Linked DNA regions of Drosophila melanogaster. The protein of the gene in region 1 interacts with the protein of each later gene in a pairwise test. Each region holds a gene or a part of one and is shown in the gene's direction. Other genes may lie near its edges.

Evidence for each region.
Region 2: the proteins of sun (region 1) and CG1894 interact in a two-hybrid assay, tested with the Drosophila melanogaster proteins (one large-scale study listed by BioGRID).
Region 3: the proteins of sun (region 1) and Cpn interact in a two-hybrid assay, tested with the Drosophila melanogaster proteins (one large-scale study listed by BioGRID).

Annotation. Positions count from the first base shown.
Region 1 is NC_004354.4:15,847,620-15,851,375, reverse strand, and holds sun (stunted), read left to right. Parts: upstream 1-2,117; 5' UTR 2,118-2,211; coding exon 2,212-2,240; intron 2,241-2,359; coding exon 2,360-2,490; intron 2,491-3,028; coding exon of another isoform or gene 3,029-3,042; exon of another isoform or gene 3,043-3,078; intron 3,079-3,371; coding exon 3,372-3,397; 3' UTR 3,398-3,517; downstream 3,518-3,756. Other genes in the region: UBL3 (ubiquitin like 3), read left to right, coding at 180-288, 666-830, 948-1,012. UniProt on the Drosophila melanogaster protein: Activates the G-protein coupled receptor mth in vitro, leading to increased intracellular calcium ion levels.
Region 2 is NT_033777.3:28,482,412-28,486,167, forward strand, and holds CG1894 (uncharacterized protein), read left to right. Parts: upstream 1-2,145; 5' UTR 2,146-2,240; coding exon 2,241-2,345; intron 2,346-2,426; coding exon 2,427-3,587; 3' UTR 3,588-3,651; downstream 3,652-3,756.
Region 3 is NT_033777.3:12,164,441-12,168,196, reverse strand, and holds the start of Cpn (calphotin), read left to right. Parts: upstream 1-2,010; 5' UTR 2,011-2,076; intron 2,077-2,523; 5' UTR 2,524-2,646; coding exon 2,647-3,756. UniProt on the Drosophila melanogaster protein: Plays important roles in both rhabdomere development and in photoreceptor cell survival. Might function as a calcium-sequestering 'sponge' to regulate the amount of free cytoplasmic calcium. It binds 0.3 mole of Ca(2+) per mole of protein.

The DNA of each region.
Region 1 (3,756 bases):
GTTTTTTTTTTATATATATATAAATCAGCTATCAGATTTATATCAATTTAGTTGAGTAGCTTTAAATCTTTTTGGCAGGACTTACATTTAATTTCATTGAGCTCTCATAAAAAAACGATATACTATAAACTATATCATATAAAAGAATTTAATTGCAATAATATCCGTTTGCTTTTCAGATTAACCTACGCCTCATTCTTGTTAGTGGTAAAACAAAAGAGTTTATTTTTAGCCCTTCAGATTCCGCAGGTGATATTGCACAAACAGTATTTGATAATTGGCCAGAAGGTGAGTGAATTTAGTGTTAAGTTTGTCGGCGAATGATTTTTAATCACTAACGATTAAGTATGTAAGCTACGTAATACAAATAGAGTGAAATATACATATTTCTTCTAAATGGCATGCTATTGACCCTTTCGCGTGAACTGCATTTATTTTGAGAACGCTTTAATCATAGTCACAAGGATACAAGGATACAACCCACGAAATATTTAATATTTATGGCATCTATTGGATATTTCAAATAAATGCGACTTTTGAAGTTTGTTTAAATATTGTCAGCTTGTTGGCCTCTAAAATCAATTCTTTCTTAGTTGTTTTGCTTTTAGAGTTAGACTTTTGATGCGAAAACCCATGTAATACATTATTGTGCATATATCTTGCAGATTGGACCCACGAAACTGTGTCGAAAGCCGAAATCTTGCGCTTAATTTATCAAGGTCGTTTTCTTCATTGCAATGTAACCTTAGGAGCACTGGGACTTCCATTAGGCAAAACGACTGTTATGCATTTAGTGCCACGTGATAATTTGCCAGAGCCCAATTCACAAGGTAGGTTTTCAAAAAAAAAAAAAAAAAAGAAATATGGTTTCAATTATAAAGAGCTGCTCAAATTTAAATTCGCAATGCATACGAAAAACATCTTACTGAATTTTCCTCCTCTTTTAGATCAAAGACAAAATAGTAAAGGCGGTTCTGGACGATGCTGTTCGACAAATTGCTCTATTTTGTAACTAAATTATTATATAATAGCGTAATATTTAAACTAATTTGCATTAAAAGAAAAAAGAAAAAAAAAAAAACACCCACAACCGAAATAAAAACAAATATGAATGTATAAATTACATTTTTGTGCAGTCAGAAGTATATTTATTAAACTATAATAATGTATGTCTGGATCAACAAGGCGCTTTGTTTCAACTATTAATGTACATACAATATATATTTTATATATATACCACACAGGAATTCATGAGCATGTGCAAAATGCGTATACTCTGTATTAAAGTTGCTAGACTGCATATTTATAACATGTAATATACGAATACAATGCTAATTGCTTTTAGAAACCGGACTTGTTAACCTAATTAGAGAATGGGTAATTACAACACTTATTTCAAATATGTCGAAAATATTGAAAACTAATTATGTGCAAGAATAAGTAATTTTCCCATTGCGTTCTGCTTTTAAGTGTGCGTCTACCGAAAAACTAAATAAAATCAGCAATTACTTGTCAGATCGATTCTTTAATGCGTTAAAGAATATTAAAGAAATTTTTGTTCTGTATATATACACATTTAATTAGAACTTAAGTGTTTTCTTCTGTTAAGTTTTAAAATATTATCTGTAAAGTCTAACTTAAAGTCAATGATAAATAAATAATCTAATATATCCTTAGCTTATCCTATTTTGGGTGCATTGGTGGTTATTTGATTAATTAGCCTAGAACTAAAAACAAATTTCAAGGAAAATTGGGGAATATTTTTTTTAAGTTGATGGTTTAATGTAACAATTTTTCTTGAAATGCTTTATGCAAGGCACGTTAAACAATGTCTGCTTAATTATTTGTGTAGGCATGAATAAGTAACAAGCTTCGTTCTTTCGAATAAAACAGTTTGGCATATCCATATTTATTAGGGTTTTTCCCAAAGGAAGAAAAATAAGTAAATTAGATTTTTAAATATTGAAAAGTTTGAGTTTGGATATCGATAACAAATGTTACTAACAGTGTGTATGTTCAATAACAGAAGTCACAGTCGTCGTCGCTATCTTGACGCGCGTAAGCTAGTATTTAAGGTATATGTGCGACAATCGACGGTATATTTCTGACTTAACTCTCAAAAACTAGTTGGCCACACTGACCGGATTCAGAAAGGGAATATCTTATATATTTTTTGTGTAGCGTGAATATATTTCGAATAAACCGATCACAATGACTGCCTGGAGAGCTGCCGGAATTACGTAAGCATTGTATAAGTGCCTGCCACACCAGCTGTGTTGTGGCAGCATTCTCATGCAAATAAAAACGCCTTTGCTGCCCGATTACATAACATAATTAATCCAAATATTACCGATTGCAGCTACATCCAATACTCCAACATCGCCGCTCGCATTTTGCGCGAGTCCTTGAAGACGGGACTGCGTGCGGATGCCGCCAAGCGCGACGCGAGCCATGTGAAGTTCACTCCCTGGGCAAATGGCAAGCCAGCTCGTACGTATCATAATACTTTAGACGGCCAAATAGCAGCCATTATATAAATTAACTCCGGATAATTCGAAATCCAAGGGGAAACCGTTATCAATGTGTTATTAGGAATGTTTCGAAGTCATCCACAAGTGGTTTCCACACGGTATTCTACCCAAAAGTTTCGGAAAAAAGCCCCGTTTCGAAATGGCAATGTGAAAAATACCGAAAAATGAACGGTTCACTCGTGTTCCCACTTTACTCCGAAAATGTTGCCAATTTACAGGCGTAATATCGCGTGTAAAAACTGTTCCCATCTATAGATATTCGTATATTATTGCATATATCATATATATTTGCAATCTGTTTAAATCCTGATCATCAACATTGAAGCGTTCATACTCATCCAAACCATTTCTAAAACTTTAATTTCAAAATTTTCGTAACTTATTGGAATATCGAAACAAAATTAGGCAAAATTGCTTACCATTCCTTCAAGACAAACGCTCCATAAAGTAATAGAATTTATGTTTCATATTGCGTCATATTTGAATATATTTTTCAGATGAAAGGGCTTAGGTGTTCCATCGTCAAATTAATAATTTAAAAACTGGCGTAAGTGCCTGCCGCGGCAGACAAAACCCAAATTATCCCAGCGTTCGCATTAAACTCAACGACAGTTTATGTATCTAACTTTGTTCCCAAAGTTTCTAACTACGCTTACAAGCTGATCTGCATGCAAATGCGATGTGTTTACATATAATATAATGTTTATATTAATATACATATATATATCCCAAAATTGCCCGCCCCAAAAGTTTACAAGCGACCAACTATTAACTATTTCTTTGTGATGAAAAACTATTATCCAAAGCAAATGCTGATTATTGCCATTTTTCTGTCCGCAGAGCGTCAAACCCAATCGGAATCCTAGATGCTTTTCAGTGGCCACTCGAGAATGATTCGCAACAACTAAGATCCGCCGAAGCTGCAATGTTGTAAAATCATGAAAAATAAATAAAATTAAATAAATGTAATTTATTTAAACACGATGATTTTAATTGTTCTTAAATGTGGCATTTATTTGGGCGTTCCGTTTAGAGATCGCGACCGATGAAACGGACTTCTAGCAAAGATTTAAATATAGACTCAATAGAATATTGTAATTTTGAAAAGAACTATTGGTCAGGTTCACCAGAAGCCTTTTAATTGGGATCAGTGATAGGTTTCTTGCTATAATTTTGTCAACGCATATTTGTATAGAATGATTTTATACACATAATGCTGAACCAA
Region 2 (3,756 bases), on another chromosome or scaffold:
AGCATCACTTGTGTGTTATATTAACATACTGCTAGTGGCACAAATAGCTTCCAAATTCCTGTGGACTCGTGCGATTTGATATGGCTGCAACCACAACTGAGATTGACCTGTGCTTTATTACTTCAAAAATGCGGCATTTGGCTAATGCTCAAAGGAATCGATCGAGTCCATGCCGGCGATGATGGCGCATCGCTGGCCAATTATACGGCTTTGAGGGCATCAGTTTGGGATTGGACCGTTCCTCAGGCGTCGACTCGTTAAGTATCCGCAAAGGATGCAATCTCTGCCAGTTACTGAAATTCGGCTTTGTGGCAGACAAAACTGCATTGAAGTTGTTGCGGTTACGGCTCGACTGCCTAGTTGCCTAGTTGCCCGACTGCATGGATGCCATGGCAATTGGCCAACGCAGGCGTCGTCTTAAAGTAGGCCCAGTTTATTAATTAACGCAACCCGACCGACCACTATTCCGGCTTTGCATCCGGCAGCCCAGCAGAGACGCCTGACCACACTTGGTTTGATTCCAACCGGATGGTAACTTGGAACTGGGTATTCAGTGCACACTGGCATGCATATTGAAGTGCGATTGCCGGGCTCTGGGCATGCTCCTCCTGCATCAATTATGGGCATTCAAAACTGTTTGTAACCATTTTCCAAATGTTCAGCTGGCTAAACAAAAGCCCGTCCAAACCCACCCAACACTACGTGGCCCCATGGAAACCGTTTCGCAAAGCCCATTGGGAGCCCAGCGCTTATCTTCACCGTACAGGTCAAGGGCTAATAGGTATCGATCCAGAGCTACCAGCCCAAACATTGGCCTTAATATTTTTATAAGACTGATGGTATCGAGTAATAACAAGGAACCAAAAAGCTTGGAGGCGTGAAATTAAGCTGGGATTAGAATATTGTATATGTATATATACATTAACAAGAAGCTGTGCTGTGCTTTAAACATATCGAAATAACAAAAGAATTTTTATTAAAAATATTTAAGCTTCAAGTTAGCTCGACTTCTTTGGCCTGTTTGAATAGTTCTGCACACACCTACGACTCTACGGCTCTAATTAGGGAGTATGACTCCGGGGCCCAGGAACCTCCTTTCAGTTGACTTCGTTTTCAAAGGCATTCCCCGCATCATTTAAAAGTTATTAAGCACAAATGCAAACAGACGTTCGAGTTGTCTCGAAGCCATGGTTGTGTTTATCAAACTTGTGTGACGTAGATAAATATGCAGTGGGGGCACGTTTCAAGCGGAAACGAAGCAGCACAGCAATAAAAAGTGTTTGATTTTAATGAGATTCGAAGTATGTATATAATTTTAATCATTTTTGTGTAATATTCTCTAGTAGAGACATGACATTTTTATATTTCTGCAGCGCATAGATATTTTGCAGCACAAAGCTATATATCAAATCGCTATAATATTTTTACGTGTACGCAAACAGAGACTCTTATAGAAAAGGCACACACACACAGACACACGCACATATGCAGAGTGAAGTCAATAAATTCTCATTTCGCTGGATGCGTGGAATATTTCACCTGCAAACAAAGTGTGCTCTTCGCTACTCTGCTCTCCGCAAACGCAATAATAAATACAAATAAAAACATGGCGCATAAAGATTACAGCCACCGCAAGCGAATGCTGTAGCAAAAGGAGCCAACTCATCCAGGAGCTTTCCATCCTGCTAGAACCCCCCCCCCCCCCCCATCCCGCCATCCACACACTCTCAATCCAATCTATATTAAGTATACGCACCGTTTGAACCATGCATTTTAATGATGTCTCCCGTTGGCCCGGGCTCGTCACCTAATCTTTCGCCCGGTCTCCTGGCCTCTCGCCCTCACATCCACCTGCTGTGACGACGTAAATGTTCATTTATTTTAATTAGTATTGAGCCGGGTTGTCCCTGCACTGGCGTCTTCGATAGATCAAGGTAGCAGGGTGTGGCGTAGGACTGAGATTATATCCCGAAATGTTTTCTCACTGAAAAAAATGTATACAACTTATTGTATAATATATATTTTTGCTCAATATATGTTCAGAAAGTTAAATTGGAATTAAAATTTAAAAATAACTTTAATGCTTTGATATTGGTGCTTCCTTAGATGATTCGATTTTTTGACAACAAACTTTATCGTTTCATTATTGATATCACTAATCGATATCAAGCTAAATGTGTCATCACTAGTGAAAAACCACGCTTTCTAAAAAGGGTGAAATTCGCAATAGGAATTGACAAATGGACAAGGAAAACAGATCAGGTGACCATTTAAAGTATCAGCCGTTGGGCGATCAGGACGGGATAAGTTCGAAATTGCCGGACATTCCGAGAGCCCTGCAATTGGTAAGAACAATACTGGTCAAAGAATATCATATGAGGAATGAAAAACTGCTGATAATTTATTTTTTTTTTGCCACTCTTCAGACTAATGCCAAGGAATCCTCCGCGACTCGCGGTTTAGGCCAAAGTGCTTCTAAGTCCGAAATGGGGAAATCCCAGCTTCAGAACGATTCATCTCTTCAAAAAAACATTCAGGAAACTAAAACCATTACTGGATCGTGCATCGAAGCTCAAAGAATAGGGGCTACACCGAAGAAGCAATTGGAAGGCGTCAAGGAACCTAATATGATTTCTTTATTACACACTAATGCCAGTAGCAATGTGGATGATCGCCAGCGCCAGGAGACAATAGATAATGAAAAAAGTGATGTCCAGAAAGAGAAAGAGGACGCGAAAGTGAAAGTCATAAGAAACATCGAAAAGGTGCAATTTGGGCGTTACGAGATCGAGACCACGTCTTCCAGTCCCTATCCTGTAATAAACGACAAGGCGACCACCATTTACGTTTGTGAATTCTGCCTAAAATACATGTGCTTGCGGAAAAGTTACTCCTACCACCTATACGATTGCAAGAAGAGGTGTCCGCCGGGCAGCTTGTTATACCGAAAAGACAATATTTATATCTACGAGGTCGATGGCCATAAGGAGCAGCTGTATTGCCAGTGCCTCTGCCTAATGTCAAAGCTCTTTCTGGAAAACAAGAAAATTCTTTACAGCTCGAGTTCGTTCTTGTTTTATATCCTGTGTTTGAAGGACAAGGATGGCGAGCACTTTGCAGGTTACTTCGCCAGGGAGAAGACTATGCTGAATATCAACCTGAATTGCATCCTTGTTTTACCGCCCTATATGCGCAAGGGATACGGAAAGTTGTTGATTGATCTGAGCTACGAGATCTCTCGCAGGGAGGCATGCATCGGAGGTCCCAAGAAGCCGCTGTCGAAAGTTGCCAGACTTTGTTACCTCAGCTATTGGGGCCACATCCTCCTCAATCTGCTGAGGCACCACTCATCACCGGACCTGGTGACCATCGAAGAGCTGAGCAAAGCGACTGGCTTCCGCGAGGAGGACATAATAAGCACTTTAGAATTTATGGGGATGACGAAGTACTACAAGGTTGACCACATCATGTTCTACACTACTTCATCGATAATTGAAGATCGCCGTGGGCTCGCACAGTTTAAAAAGCCGAGGTTGACCATTCACAGGAATCGCCTCTCCTGGAAGACACCCACAGGACGAAAGTAGAACATTTTCATGATATATGTATGCCACTTTGTATGCCAACAATTTACACTAGTAAACTGATTGCACTCATCTACAAGAATGTCCTTATCTTATTTTATTTTTTGCGGTGTACCTTAGACAGTCTAAAATAAAAATCACATTAGCGAGATAATCAAAATTCAAGGCCTGC
Region 3 (3,756 bases), on another chromosome or scaffold:
AGTTGCAGCAGCCACACAGCGACCAGGGTTGCCATACGGCGCCGATTTTTGCGAATTTTTTTTGCCTAGCCAGCACTTTGTGTGCCCCTTCTGCGTGTGGGTGTTTTGGGTTTTTTGCGTTCGCCGGGGGTTTCCCTTTTTATTGTGGCCGCTGGGTGAAAATTGTTTGCATTGCATTCTCTGCTGATGCATGCGAATTGAGAAATATTTGCAATTTAGCAAAATACACCCGGAAGCGGCTCCGGATTGAAGCTTGAGCTCCTTTTGCCACATTTCGCAATTTCGATTTTCGCCCCGCATTTGTATTCATATTTGTATTTGGTTTTTCCAATCGCACACGGGCCCGACTTTCCACACTCTTACAGTGCGTGCAAAATGACGGCAATTAGGTGTATACGCTGCGCTGATTTATGTTTTTTTTTTTTTTTTGTAGTTGATCGCCTCACCTTCGAAAATAGCCAGGAATGCAATATCCATTGTTTCAGGGAATGGATTTCATCCGAGTATTGTTTTTCGGTATAAAACATTGTTTGAGAAATATTTGTAAAATATGACAAAAACTTCTATTCTATTGCTGGCAATTACAATTTGAGATCACTCATCAGTGACCACAGATTCGAAGAAAATCAAATGTATTTGTTGAGGTACGCAAACTCCTTCGCAGCTCAGATCAATTGTCGAGTTCAGTGATGCAGGAGGAGATAGAATAAAGTATAAATACAATTTGTATGCTTGATGTAATTTCATTTCCACTTATCTTGGTATTTTCTCTGCATTTTGCTTCATGCGATTGATTTATCGCACAGAAAATAATAGGCAGCCAATGTCTGTGCATCCTGTGAAAGGACTCGCTCTCGGCCTTCCAAGCATTCAATCCCTGAGCCGGGTTCAGTTTATATTCAAATGCTTACGCTTAAATGTCAATAATACGTGAAATTGAACTGCCAATTCAATCTTCACAACTACTCCGCATCGCTCCTCCACTTCTCCAGTGAAATCATTTCCATATAAGCGTTTTCCCATCTCGTCTATTTATATATATGTATGTATTTCTTTTCTTTTCGTTCGCAACTCTTTTTATTTTCCATCCTGCGAGAAAAATTCTTTCTGTTCATATGTGGAAAAACTATTTGCAAAAGTCTCAAGTGTGCTCGGTTCCCGGCCAGCAGAGGGGCAAGTGAGGCGAAGGTGTAGGTGGACGTGTTGGTGTTGGACTTTTTAAAACGACGCCTGCAAATTGTACGCAGATCACATTACACTTGCTCCAACGGACGGCATGTGCAACTGCCGGCTGCCTCTGTGGATTGCTTTACATTTGGCTGCACTTCCTACCCGGCATTCACTCGAAAAATTGAAAGATTTATTTCTTAGTTCTTTGCGATTACATTTCCACCGAGCTAATGTGTTCCGATCCAACGGCTACGTAGTGGCAGTTTGTCAACTGTCATTGCATCAGACATTGAATGGGCCACGATAGCAAATGGATTGTGGAGGGTCGGGTGAGGGCGGGGCAGTGCGGGGCAGCGCGGGAACCTGTCGCATTTTGTTGACAACTACATTGCAAATACGGCAAAGTAATCAGTATTGTGTAAATAACCAGTTATGTGTCTGCGAGTGCAGCTGACAAAGCGAGTGGTAAGCGATATGCACTGGATCGCGAATAAATTCTTGAAAGCGTTTCCCCGATTTATCTACCCGATGCATTTGGCAAGATGCGAACGGAATCGATAATCGAATAATATGCGAATATCACTCATACGCAGTGGTGGGCGCCAACGCATGTAGCACACTTTTCAGCGCCAAATGTTTCCTCGTGCGAGCCGGAACAAATTTAATATGTGGCTAAGGTCAGCTGATAAGCACCTTAGTGTCTGGGAATTGGAAAAACGCAAAAAGCACTTGAAACTATGCGTATACTTTCTGCGCTCAATGGGCAGTTGTCGGACTTCTGACCGAAGGTAAACCAATGAAAAGAGGTAAAAATGTCCAAGAAAACTGAGTCAACGGGCCAGTTAAACACCGTTTTTCTCATCGGCAAGTCGGTCGCTGTTTAAAACTATTCAACAAATTAAATTGGTTAATAATATTGAAAATATTCAAAAGGATTGACTTACCTAAGAGGCAGTTCCTAATAGTTGACCATTTCATTGCTGACCGCTTATTTTCGAATTTTTGAACGAAATTGTGCAAGTGCCTTGTTTTCTCTTACATAATTTAGCAACTACAGTTTTGTAAAAGAAAAATATATTTCGAATAGACGTCAGAAGCAAGAGACTAGTTAACTCAATTGCTCTTACTTTTACTTCTCATGTAGTGAAGACAATTCTAATCTCATTTAATCAATGTAATTTTATTGTATAGATATTTGAATCAGTATTTTCCGGAGAACTTTTATTCTTATTTTTCTCATTCTTACGTGGTTTCTCATCGATTTAATTTTATTTAAGACAATGGCCTAAATCATGGTCAGATCCAGCCTTGCCATGTCTCATGTTTTTCTCGTTTTCATTCCTCTGTTTTCAGTTGTCTTCTGACCATGAAAAGCTGGCCATGAAACATTTTTGCAACTAAGCATTGGACAAGGCACAATCCGCCCAAAAGGAAAAAACGGATTAACTTTTATGTGAAAGTGGGCAAAGGATAGACATGGAACCAGGAACCATTCCATCGCCTGTTTCAGCACCAGTTGCTGCGCCTGTGACGCCATCAGCAGTGGCTGCCCCTGTCCAAGTAGTAAGTCCTGCGGCAGTGGCTCCCGCACCAGCGGCACCGATTGCAGTCACTCCAGTTGCTCCACCGCCCACCCTTGCAAGTGTGCAACCGGCAACAGTTACTATTCCAGCTCCAGCTCCAATTGCTGCCGCATCCGTCGCTCCTGTCGCATCTGTGGCGCCTCCAGTTGTTGCAGCTCCAACTCCGCCGGCAGCAAGTCCAGTTTCAACACCACCCGTTGCTGTTGCTCAGATTCCGGTCGCTGTTTCAGCACCAGTGGCACCTCCCGTTGCTGCAACACCCACTCCTGTTGCCCCAATTCCTGTAGCTGCGCCTGTGATAGCGACACCACCTGTTGCTGCCTCTGCCCCCACTCCGGCTGCCGTGACTCCCGTTGTTTCGCCTGTGATCGCCACACCACCTGTGGTTCCCGCTAACACCACGGTTCCCGTTGCAGCACCTGTAGCTGCTGTACCAGCTGCTGTTCCTGTTGTTGCCCCAGTTCTTGCGCCTGCCGTTGCTCCTGCAGTTGCCCCCGTCGTCGCCGAGACTCCAGCTCCACCACCTGTTGCTGAGATTCCGGTTGCAACCATACCGGAGTGCGTTGCACCTCTCATCCCCGAGGTTTCCGTCGTGGCAACGAAACCACTAGCTGCAGCTGAGCCAGTGGTCGTTGCTCCACCGGCTACTGAAACCCCAGTCGTTGCTCCGGCTGCAGCTTCCCCCCATGTGTCGGTTGCACCAGCTGTGGAGACCGCAGTGGTCGCTCCTGTAAGTGCTTCGACTGAGCCCCCGGTAGCTGCTGCGACTCTAACAACTGCACCAGAAACGCCAGCCCTTGCTCCAGTCGTTGCCGAGTCCCAAGTTGCTGCGAATACTGTTGTAGCTACACCTCCTACTCCAGCCCCAGAGCCAGAAACCATTGCACCACCTGTTGTTGCAGAAACCCCAGAAGTTGCTTCAGTTGCTGTTGCTGAGACAACACCACCCGTTGTACCTCCTGTGGCCGCAGAATCAATACCAGCGCCAGTCGTTGCCACGACA